2 linked regions of the Macaca fascicularis genome follow. The protein of the gene in region 1 purifies or fractionates together with the protein of each later gene. This does not show direct contact. Links are inferred from orthologs where the notes say so. Each region holds a gene or a part of one and is shown in the gene's direction. Other genes may lie near its edges.

What was found. Proteins that work in one complex are often made in the same cells at the same time.
Region 2: the proteins of TSSK6 (region 1) and CDC37 purify together in Homo sapiens (affinity purification with mass spectrometry; 4 studies listed by BioGRID and IntAct, with this or other methods). This does not show direct contact. The link is inferred for Macaca fascicularis from reciprocal best matches to the Homo sapiens genes TSSK6 and CDC37.

The regions. Positions count from the first base shown.
Region 1 is NC_088393.1:19,951,065-19,957,261, reverse strand, and holds TSSK6 (testis-specific serine/threonine-protein kinase 6), read left to right. Parts: upstream 1-2,242; 5' UTR 2,243-2,970; coding exon 2,971-3,792; 3' UTR 3,793-4,553; downstream 4,554-6,197. Other genes in the region: NDUFA13 (NADH dehydrogenase [ubiquinone] 1 alpha subcomplex subunit 13), read right to left, coding at 2,065-2,158. UniProt on the Homo sapiens protein: Serine/threonine-protein kinase component of the sperm flagellar doublet microtubules. May act as a regulator of sperm motility by mediating phosphorylation of sperm doublet microtubule proteins.
Region 2 is NC_088393.1:10,957,619-10,963,229, reverse strand, and holds part of CDC37 (hsp90 co-chaperone Cdc37), read left to right. Parts: intron 1-2,116; coding exon 2,117-2,392; intron 2,393-2,623; coding exon 2,624-2,885; intron 2,886-2,977; coding exon 2,978-3,093; intron 3,094-3,177; coding exon 3,178-3,300; intron 3,301-4,235; coding exon 4,236-4,418; intron 4,419-4,518; coding exon 4,519-4,590; intron 4,591-5,611. UniProt on the Homo sapiens protein: Co-chaperone that binds to numerous kinases and promotes their interaction with the Hsp90 complex, resulting in stabilization and promotion of their activity. Inhibits HSP90AA1 ATPase activity.

The DNA.
Region 1 (6,197 bases):
GCAAAAAATTAGCCAGGCGTGGCGGCAGGCGCCTATAGTACCAGCTACTTGGGAGGCTGAGGCAGGAGAATGGCGTGAACCCGGGAGGCGGAGCTTGCAGTGAGCCGAGATCGCGCCACTGCACTCCAGCCTGGGCAACAGAGCGAGACTCCATCTCAAAAAAAAAAAAAAAGAAAAAGTCTGCCAATCTCAGTTCTTGGATACAAGAAAAACAAGAGGAGGCTGGCCACGGTGGCTCAAGCCTGTAATTCCAGCACTTTGGGAGGCTGAGGCTGGAGGATCACTTGAGCCCAGGAGTTTGAGACCAGCCTGGTCAACATAGCTGCACCCTTGTCTCTACAAAAAGTAGAAATAAAAAATTAAAAACCGCCGGGAGCCATGGCTCACGCCTGTAATCTCAGCACTTTGGGAGGCCAAGGCGGGCGGATCACCAGGTCAGGAGATTGAGACCATCCTGGCTCACACGATGAAACCCCATCTCTACTAAAAATACAAAAAATTAGCCAGGCGTGGTGGCGGGCACCTGTAGTCCCAGTTACTTGGGAGGCTGAGGCATGAACCCGGGAGGCGGAGCTTGCAGTGAACCGAGATCACGCCACTGCACTCCAGCCTGGGCAACAGACCGAGACTCCATCTTATAAAAAAAACAAAAACAAAAAAAGACAAAAAACCAAGAAGCAGCTGGGGAGGGCTTTTCACCTCACATTGACTTTTCTACTATCTGAATTATTACATTTTTAATTACTATGTTCATTTTTTGTATGTGTTAAAATTGAGGCATAATGTGCATAACATGTAATTTAAATGTAAAGTTTAATTTGTTAAGAGACATGCATTCTGCTGAGCCCGGTGGCTCATGCCTATAGTCCCATAGGCATGAAAACTTTGGAAAGCTGAGGTGGGTGGATCACTTGAGCCCAGGAGTTCAAGACCAGCCTGCGCAAGATGGCAAGACCCCATCTCTACAGAAAATACAGAAAGCTGGGCGCAGGCTTATAATCCCAGCTGCTTGGGAGGCTGAGGTGGGAAGATGGCTTGAGCCCAGGAGGCAGAGGTTGCCAAGAGATCACTCCAGCCTGGGCAACAGAACCATACCCTGTCTTTAAAAAAAAAAAAAAAAAAAAAAAAAAAAAAAAAAAGGAATGTATGTATTCACCCTTAAATTACGTTTAAAAGTTTGTATTTGTCCATTAACCCTGGGGACTGAGTATGGGTGCCTTTCAAGTCTTTTTCATTTTTCTGTGTTGAGCCCCATAACAAAATTTAACGTGTTACTTAAAACATTTGAAAACTTTACGACGGGCATGGTGGCTCACGCCTGTAATCCTACCACTTTGGGAGGCCGAGGTGGGCCGATCATCTGAGGTTGGGAGTTGGAGACCACCCTGACCAACGTGGAGAAACCCCATCTCTACTAAAAATACAAAATTAGCCAGGCGTGGTGGCACATGCCTGTAATCCCAGCTACTCGGGAGGCTGAGGCAAGAGAATTGCTTGAACCCAGGAGGCAGAGGTTGCGGTGAGCCGAGATGGCGCCATTGCACTCCGGTCTGGGCAACAAGACCAAAACTCCGTCTCAAAAAAAAAATACATAAATGAAAACAATTTGAAAACTTTAAGAATACGGATTCCTGGGACACCATGGAGGCGGGGGCTGCCTGCAGGGAACCACTTTATAGAACATCTTGTAAATTCCCTCCAAGTTCCAGGTTGCGGCCTCAGCCTTGCCTTGGGGAGCCGTGGCCTCTTTTGGGCCTCAGTTTCCCCATCTGAGAAATCCAAGGGTGGCTGAGGGCCAGAGCGCAGACTATGCCTCAGTTTAACCCACTGTAAAATGTAAATAATTAGAGGGACCGATTTCCTGGGCTGTTACGAGAAGGAAGCGGAGCTGGGAAAGCGCTCAACAAACTGCAGCACTTGACGTTATTACAGAAGCTATGGAGGATTCTCGAGCTCAGCCTCCGGTCTCACCGCCAGGGAAACTGAGGCCCGCTTGTGTCCCCGGAACCCCGCCCCCGAGCCCCGAGTACCCACTCTGAGACCCCGGCCCAGAGTGATACTGACCCGACAGTCCTCGACGCGGCAAGTTTCGTTTGTAGTCGATGGGCCCATAGCCCCCCGGCGGGGGCATGTCCTGCTTCACCTTCGGCATCTCCATGCTGGCAGTATTCCACACTTCCGGTCCCAGGCGGAAGTGACATACTGCCACCGCCATGATGAGTGTGGCGGAAGCACTCGAGTTGGCTCGCCGCAGCCCTGGAAAGCCTCGGACACTAGTGTAACTACGCGACAGCGCAGGAAAGCTCCGGCGGCGGACCCTGGGTCGGAATACGCTGCCAGGCTGTAGCTGAGGAGTCTTTATTCCCTCTTTCTCCCAGACAGGGTGTGAATTGCCTTGGTTCTTGCATTAAAGGCCCTCGCGTTCGCCTTGCCTCTGGGGTGTTGCGCAGGCCAGTCAGAAACTCCGAGCGCCCGAGGGAGCCAGGGGCCCCAGTTAAGGCCCCTTTTCCCGTTTTCGCTCCGTCTAGGGACTCTACGGGAAGCCCAGGGCTCCACGTAGTCACGGGCTGGGTACGTGATGTTGGGGAGCAGCTGCTGCTCGAATTCGGACTCACCCCAATCCCCGGAACGGATGCTGCTCCCTGGTGGTGGTGGGTATCCCTTGCTAGTGGCCTCTCATCGGAAACTGACCATTCAAGGTGATTATGAGTCACAAAGCAGGGAGGCTAGGGTGGCCCCGGGGCGGGGTCCTGGACCCCCACCCTAAGGCGGAGTGACGCCCGTGGTCACTTCACAAGGCAAAAATTGTTACGGGGCAATAAAAGGCACAACAGCGGCCAATGCCTGGCAGTGGGCACATGGGGGTGCGGGGGTGTAGGTGCCAAGCGCCATGGCTTAGACCCGAGATTGGAGTCCGGCCGCCCCCCGACAGCAGCCGCCTCCTGCTCCCCGTGCGCCCCAGGCGCCACCATGTCGGGAGACAAACTTCTGAGCGAACTCGGTTATAAGCTGGGCCGCACAATTGGAGAGGGCAGCTACTCCAAGGTGAAGGTGGCCACATCCAAGAAGTACAAGGGTACCGTGGCCATCAAGGTGGTGGACCGGCGGCGAGCGCCCCCGGACTTCGTCAACAAGTTCCTGCCGCGAGAGCTGTCCATCCTGCGGGGCGTGCGACACCCGCACATCGTGCACGTCTTCGAGTTCATCGAGGTGTGCAACGGGAAACTGTACATCGTGATGGAAGCGGCTGCCACCGACCTGCTGCAAGCCGTGCAGCGCAACGGGCGCATCCCCGGAGTGCAGGCGCGCGACCTCTTCGCGCAGATCGCCGGCGCCGTGCGCTACCTGCACGATCACCACCTGGTGCACCGCGACCTCAAGTGCGAAAACGTGCTGCTGAGCCCGGACGAGCGCCGCGTCAAGCTCACCGACTTCGGGTTCGGCCGCCAGGCCCATGGCTACCCAGACCTGAGCACCACCTACTGCGGCTCAGCCGCCTACGCGTCACCCGAGGTGCTCCTGGGCATACCCTACGACCCCAAGAAGTATGATGTGTGGAGCATGGGCGTCGTGCTCTACGTCATGGTCACCGGGTGCATGCCCTTCGACGACTCGGACATTGCCGGCCTGCCCCGGCGCCAGAAGCGCGGCGTGCTCTACCCCGAAGGCCTCGAGCTCTCCGAGCGCTGCAAGGCCCTGATCGCCGAGCTGCTGCAGTTCAGCCCGTCCGCCAGGCCCTCGGCGGGCCAGGTAGCGCGCAACTGCTGGCTGCGCACCGGGGACTCTGGCTAGAACCCGGGGTTCCAGCCATTCCTGCCCCCGAGGGCGCTGGGCCAGCGCGGCGCACGCGCAAGAGGCGAGTTTAGCGGGAACATGCGAAGCTGCCGCGTGCTACTGCGCATGCGCCTTCTCCCTGCCGCTTCCCTCCCTTCCTTCCCACGGGGAAGTCGGCAGTTGCCCCTGTTCGGAATCCACGTCCTCCGCCATCCCGAGAGCTGGAGGCGCATGCGCATCCGTGATTTCCCAGACCAGGCCCCGAAAGAGGCGAGACCAGAGGGGACGGAAGCATTGCGCCTGCGCGGAACAAGCTCAGCCTCTGCGCGGAGGGCGTACCTTCCCAACCAACGATGGGTGCCGGGTTCCCGGTTGGAACCTGCAATAAACTCGCTGTTCCTCGCACCTGGCTCTAACGGTGGCCCCATTTGCAGACCAGTGGAGAAGGGATCGCTCCGTCCGGGGAAGGCGGGCGCGGGTACCCTATTTTAGTCAGGCTTGTTGAGGTTATTGCTCCAAGACCCAAAAGGGAGTCGGGAGGATTCGAACCTGGACCTTTTGGGCTCCCCAGTATGGGCCAGCTCGAAGGAGCTCTGTTGTTCGTGGGTCGTGATGGTGCTGTGATGATGGGTGGGGAAGCAAGTGGACCCCAGCGCCTCCCCGTCCACATCTTTTAAGGATGGAACAGCCAGGGGTGGGGCGAGGGTCACCTGTCTCCACGTAAAGTAGGAGTTTATAGAAAAGGAAACTGAGGCCCACATGGATGTCACTTGCCAAAAGACACAGCCAAGGGCTGGGCACGGTGGCTTACGCCTGTGACCCCAACACTTTGCGAGTCCGAGGCAGGCAGATCACTTGAGTTCAGGAATTCGAAAACAGCCTGGGCATCACAGCTGATACCTTATCTCTTGTTTTTTTGTTTTGTTTTGTTTTGTTTTTTTGAGACAGTCTCGCTCTGTCGCCCAGGCTGGAGTACAGTGGCACGATCTTGGCTCACTGCAACCTCCTCCTCCCGGGTTCAAGCGATTCTCTTACCTTAGCCTCCCAAGTAGCTGGGACTACAGGCACGTGCCCAAACACCCGGCTAATTTTTGTATTTTTAGTAGAGATGAGGTTTCACCATCTTGGCCAGACTAGTCTTGAACTCCTGACCTCCTGATCCACCTGCCTCGGCCTCTCAAAGTGTTGGGATTACAGGTCTGAGCCACTGCGCCCCCGACCCTGTCTCTAAAGAAAAAGAAAAAGAAAAAGTCCGGCGTGGTGGCTAACGCTTGTAATCCAAGGCGGGTGGATCACCTGAGGGCAGGAGTTCCAGACCAGCCTGGCCAACATAGTGAAACCTCATCTCTACTAAAACTACAAAAAAAAAAAAAAAAAAAAAAATAGCTGGGCATGGGGCAGGCACCTGTAATCTCAGCTACTCAGAGGCTAAGGCAGAAGAATCGCTTGAACCCGGGAGGTGGAGGTTGCAGTGAGCCGAGATCATGCCACTGCACTCCACCCTGGGCAACAAGAGCAAAACTCCGTCTCAAACAACAAACAAAAAAGACACAGCTGTGATTTTTTTTTTTTTTTTAAACAGGGTCTCTCTTTGTTGCCCAGGCTGGAATGGCACAATCTTGGCTCACTGCAGCCTCTACCCGGTTCAAACAATTCTCGTGCCTCTGCCTCCTGAGTAGCTGAGACTACAGGCGCAGGCCACCACGCCTGGCTAGTTTTTTGTATTTTTAGTAGAGACAGGGTTTCACCATGTTGGCCAGGCTGGTCTCAAACTCCTGACCTCAAGTGATCCACCTGCCTTGACCTCCCCAAAGTGCTGGAATTACAGGCATGAGCCAGTGCACCCGGCTCACAGCTGTGATTTGAACCCAGATCTAGCAATAGTGAGGTTGCGGGGGTAGGGGAAGATCTCCCCTGCTGTGGGTCCTTTTCCTCTCGGGAAGAGGGGGTGAGGGGGGGAGTCAGGGCAGGGCTGGGCAGGATTCAGCTGGACTCACTAGCTCATTCCCTTCTCTGTTAATTCATGTAATCATGCATTTCTTGAGCACCTACTGTCTGCCAGGCCCCAGAGCTCATGGCGAAGAGACTTGGGCCCATCCCTGTCGGAAACAAGACAATTGAAAAGTCAAGTAAAAGAAAAGAATGACGTGGAAATGAAATACTTGTAAGTTGTGCTAAATGCCAGGTAGAGCTGGGAGGTGTTCAAGGAGGGACTCTGGGTGGGGTTTGGTGGCTCACTCCTGTAATTCCAGAACTTTGGGAAGCTGAGGTGGGCGAATCGCTTGAGCCCAGGAGTTAAAGACCAATCTGGGCGACACAGCAAGATGGCCATCTGTACAAAAAATTTAAAAATTAGCCGGGCGTGGTGGCGTGTCTCAGCTACTTGGGTGAGGTGAGAGGATCGCTTGGGCCTGGGAGTTCAA
Region 2 (5,611 bases), about 9.0 Mb from region 1:
TTGGGTGCAAAGCAGGTAAGGGAACCGCACGTGCAGAGGCCAAGAGGCAAGAGAAAGGCCACACTTTCCAGGAACCATGAGGGCCAGCATCTGCCTGGGACCCAGGACCAGGATGCCAGGATCAGAAGTCCCATCTGAATTCAGACCCCCCAAGACGTGGTAGTGGGGAGGACTCTGGTCACGTGGTCAAATGCGCGGGTTTCACCGGCCTCCCTGGCAGCAGCTGTGCCTGGATTGGAGAGGGACAGCAATTGAAGGTGGTGGCATGTTTCCAGGTTTGATCAGCGGCTCTGAATAGAACAGCCCCCACTGAGGTTCAGGAGGGGTGATGGTGGAGCCACATAGGGGTCTCCGGAGGGTCCTGAATGATCCGATGGGGACCCAGATGGAGGTCTGAGCGAGGCAGGGAGTGAGGTGGGGACCAGGAGCCTGAGGAGATGAGGCATTGTTATCAGGAGAAAGGAATGCCTGGGGAGTGACATCTGGGGCTTGGGTGAGCGGGAAGCAGGTAGACACCAAGCTGGGGCTCAGGAGGGCATGCTGGGCTGGAGACAGAGCTAAGGGGGCCTAGGCAGTGATCCTGGAGCAAGGTTATGGGTGGAACAAAGAAACATCTAGAAGGGGCCCTGGTACAGTGGCTCATGCCTGTAATCCCAGTAATTTGGGAGGCCAAGGTGGGTGGATCACTTGAGGTCAGGAGTTCCAGATCAGCCTGACCAACATGGAGAAACCTGGTCTCTACTAAAAATATAAAATTACCCTGGTGTGGTGGCGCATGCCTGTAATCCCAGCTACTCAGAAGGCTGAGGCAGGAAAATCTCTTGAAAACGGGAGGCAGAGGTTGCAGTGAGCCAAGATCGTACCACTGCACTCCAGCCTGGGCGACTCCATCTAAAAAAAAAACAAAAAAAAAACAATAGCTGGGCATGGTGGTTTCTGTGCACCTTTAGTCCTAGCTAGTTGGGAGGTTGAGGCAGGAGGATCTCTTGAGCCTGGGAGGTCAAGGCTGCAGTGAACCATGATCGCACCACTGCACTCTAGTCTGCATGACAACAAGACCTTGTTCAAAGAAAACCAAACAAAATAAAAACAAAAAAACAAGCATTTGCTGAGCCCCTGCTTTGCGCCAGGCCAAGTTCCTGGTTCTGGAGACAAAATGGCAAACACATTCCCATATTTAGAGAGCGGGGCGGGGCAGTACCCAAAAACGTGATAAATAATTGTCATATGATGTGAGTGGTGGCTGGTGTTGAGGCAGGGAATTCCAGACGGGGGCAGCGGGAGGTTGCCATCAATAGGAAGGTGGTTAGGGAAGGGGTCCTCGCTAAGGCAACATGGAGCCCAGATGGTGCGGGTGCCATAGAGTCAGCTGTGGGGGGATCTGAGGGAAAATCATTCCAAGTAGTTGGAACAGCCAGTGTGAAGGCCTTGAAGTTCAAGAAAAAAGCAGGCTCTGCAGAGCAGAGTGGCTCCTGCCTGTGGTCCCAGCACTTTGGGAGGCCAAGGCGGAAGAGTCGCTTGAACCCAGGACTTCAAGACCCGTCTGGGCAACATGGCGAAACCCCATCTTTACTGCAAATACAAAAATTAGCTGGGCGTGGTGGTGCACACCTGTAGTCCCAGCTACTCGGGAGGCGAGGTGGGAGGATTGCCTGAGCCCAGGGAGGTCGAGGCTTCAGTAAGTCGTCATTGGGCCACTGCACTCTGACCTGGGCGACAGAGTGAGACCCTGTTTTTTTGTTTTTTTTCTAAAAGAAAAAAAAATGGTCTCAAGAAAAGGTGAGAAAAGTGAGGGGCCAGTGTGGCTGGAAGGAAGAGTTAGCAGGGGAGGTGCTGGGGCAGATTGTGTAGGGCCTACGTAGGCTGTGGTGACAACCTGGACTCTGCTCTGAGTGAGATGGGAGCCGCCAGGGTTCTGAGCGGAGGACGGAGGGACCGGACCCCACTTGGGTGTGCGTCGGCACCTGTGGGGGCAGGGGCGGAAGCTGGGAGACCAGGGCACGGGAGGTGGAGGCATACTTTTTCCCGGGGCCATCTCTGGTGCGGGGATTGGGTATGGGGCTGGGGGTAAGGGACAGGCCGCTCCCCAAAGTTGATAGGCCGCCCCTGCCCGCAGGCCCGGGTGGAGCGCATGGAGCAGTTCCAGAAGGAGAAGGAGGAACTGGACAGGGGCTGCCGCGAGTGCAAGCGCAAGGTGGCCGAATGCCAGAGGAAGCTGAAGGAGCTGGAGGTGGCTGAGGGCGGCAAGGCAGAGCTGGAGCGGCTGCAGGCCGAGGCACAGCAGCTGCGCAAAGAGGAGCGGAGCTGGGAGCAGAAGCTGGAAGAGATGCGCAAGAAGGAGAAGAGCATGCCCTGGAACGTGGACACGCTCAGCAAAGACGGCTTCAGCAAGGTGTGCGGGGCGGGCGGGGCGGGCAGTGCACTTGCGCAGCCAGCGAGTATGCAGCCAGGACGCATGCGCACCCAATGCCTGGTCAGGGGAGGACCGCGGCGGTGTAGTTGAAGAGTGTGGTGTGGGGCAGAGAGCTGAGGGACGGACGGGGGCCACGTGGGAGGGGGGACAGGCTTGGAGGGCCGGGCGGATGAAACACCCCACCGGTCCCCTCCTCTGATCTGCCCCAAGGCCCATGCCCACGCTCCCGCCACCTTGATGCTCATGGCTTCGTCACCACCTCCGCCGTGGATGGGATGGGCGCTGCGGCCACGGCCCGCCCGGCCGCACTCGAGGCGCTCCGCAGCCTTGCCCCAGCCCACTCCCCCTCTCACCCTACCACAGAGCATGGTCAACACCAAGCCCGAGAAGACAGAGGAGGACTCAGAGGAGGTGAGGGAGCAGAAACACAAGACTTTCGTGGAAAAGTACGAGAAACAGATCAAGCACTTTGGTGAGTGGGGCGTGTGAGGTTATGGGGGGCAAGGTCGGGGCAGGCCCTTTGCCTCCAGGGCCCTCCAGCACCTTGCCAGCATCTTCCCACAGGCATGCTCCGCCGCTGGGATGACAGCCAAAAGTACCTGTCAGACAATGTCCACCTGGTGTGCGAGGAGACGGCCAATTACCTGGTCATCTGGTGCATTGACCTAGAGGTGGAGGAGGTGAGTGGAGCTTTCCCCAGGGCTGTGAAAAGGTGCTGCCCTGAGGCCGCCACTTGGTAACACTGTGCCTGTTCTCCCTGGCAGAAATGTGCACTCATGGAGCAGGTGGCCCACCAGACAATCGTCATGCAGTTTATCCTGGAGCTGGCCAAGAGCCTGAAGGTGGACCCCCGGGCCTGCTTCCGGCAGTTCTTCACTAAGATTAAGGTAGGGTCCCCTGAGCTGCCAGGTGGCTGGAGGCCCCCTCCCCAGGGAACCAGCCCACAGCGCTCTGGGTAAGGCCGACTCCTGTCCACTGGGACTCAAGCCCCTCCAATCACCGAATCCTAGATCAGGAGAGGGCGGGGCCAAGGAGGGGGAGAGAAGTGGGCGGATGCTGCCAGACTTTAAAAGTGGAGGTCAGGCCAGGCTTGGTGACTGAGTCCTATAGTCCAAGTCTTTGGGAGGCTGAAGCAGGAGGACCACTTGAGCTCAGGAATTTGTGAGCTGTGGTGTTCCACTGCACTCCAGCCTGGGTGACAGAGCAAAACTGCATTACAAAAAAAAATGGGAGCACTAGGATGTGCTGGAGGTCCCCATGTGGATATGTGGGTAAAGGACAGAGGTGAGGGTGCCTCTAGGGCTCTGGGCTTTTTTTTGTTTTTGAGACCCAGTCTTGCTATCACCAAGGCTGGAGTGCAATGGCGTGATCTCAGCTCACTACAACCCCTGCCTCCTGGGTTCAAGCAACTCTCATGCCTCAGCCTCCCAAGTAGCTGGCATTACAGGCGCCTGCCAGCCTCTCGGGTTTTTAACTTGCGCACCTGGAGGAACAGGGGTACCCTTACCAAGACTGGGGAGACCAAGGACAAGGCAGGCTGGGAGGTGGCCGTGTTGAGTTAGAGGTGCCCATGCAGGGACACTGAGGACACGAGTGTCTCGGATCTGCAGTAGAGCAGGGCTCCCAAGGAGGTGGTCTTTAGCAAATGCCAGATGAGGTCCCTGGCAGGGGAGCCCAGGCCTTGGGAAGCCCTTTATGTAAGTCAGGAACAGACTTAGGGAGCCCTGGGGCACCTCTGAGGAGCTGTGGCTGGAGGGTCCTGGGCCCCCAGTCCCTCCTGAGCACTGGGCCAAGTCTAGTGAGCACTGCCCGACCCCCATAGACAGCCGATCGCCAGTACATGGAGGGCTTCAACGACGAGCTAGAAGCCTTCAAGGAGCGTGTGCGGGGCCGTGCCAAGCTGCGCATTGAGAAGGCCATGAAGGAGTATGAGGAGGAGGAGCGCAAGAAGCGGCTTGGCCCCGGCGGCCTGGACCCTGTCGAGGTCTACGAGTCCCTCCCTGAGGTGCGGCTCCCCAGCCCAGGCGGGCGGCAGGAGGACCCTGAGCGGGACCCCCCAGGGCACAGGGACCCAGCCCCTGACCCCAGCCCTTCTATACCCCCAGGAACTCCAGAAGTGCTTCGATGTAAAGGACGTGCAGATGCTGCAAGACGCCATCAGCAAGATGGACCCCACCGTGAGTAACCCCCACGTCCCATGCCTTTCCAGCGGGCCATGTGTCTCCCCCAGCCCTGTGTCCCAAGTCTCTGAAGCCAGTTGGTGAAAGTGCCCCTTCAAGGCTTCTCCAAGGACTAAGGGGGGTCGTGTTACCTTGGCACACACCCACATTTATTGAGCACCTACTGTGTCCCAGCATCCAGCAGATAAATGCTGAGCTTTGAGCGTATGTCCCTTGTGACTGATAGTCACTGTTAATGTGACTGAGTCCAGCCTCAGTTTCCTTATGCAAACCATATTTTCTCTCAATATCAGCTCACAAAACGTGTGGGGAAAGGAGCTGAGCACACGGCAGGGGCTGGTAAATGCTGGCTGTTAATTGGATTTTGTCTGGTTTTTTTTTTTTTGAGACAGAGTCTCGCTCTGTCACCCAGGCTGGAGTGCAGTGGTGCTATTTCTGCTCACTGCAAACTCCGCCTCCCGGGTTTGCACCATTCTCCTGCCTCAGCCTCCCGAGTAGCTGGGACTACAGGCACCCACCACCATGCCCGGCTAATTTTTTGTATTTTTTAGTAGAGACGGGGTTTCACTGTGTTAGCCAGGATGGTCTCAATCTCCTGACCTCGTGATCCGCCCGCCTCAGCCTCCCAGAGTGCTGGGATTACAGGCGTGAGTCACTGCACCTGGCCATCTGTTTTTTTTTTTTTGACAGACAGGGTCTTCCTCTCTCACCCAGGCTGCAGCCTCCACCTCCCAGGCTCAAGTGATCCTCCCACCTCAGCCTCCCCAAGTACCTGGGATTATAGGCTGACACCATGACATCTCACTGATTTTTTTTCTAAAAATTATGTTTTTATAAAGAAGGTCTCACTGGCTGTATTTTTGGAAGTGGCAATAGACGTTGAATCTAAGTAGGACACGATTGACCCTATTCCTACCACTTGGCTCACTGGTTGGTCACCCTGGTTTTCTCGTCTGTAAAATGGGTCTAGCTGCAGGACTGGCCATGAGTTTCTAGAAGCTTCTATGGGCATAGCCAT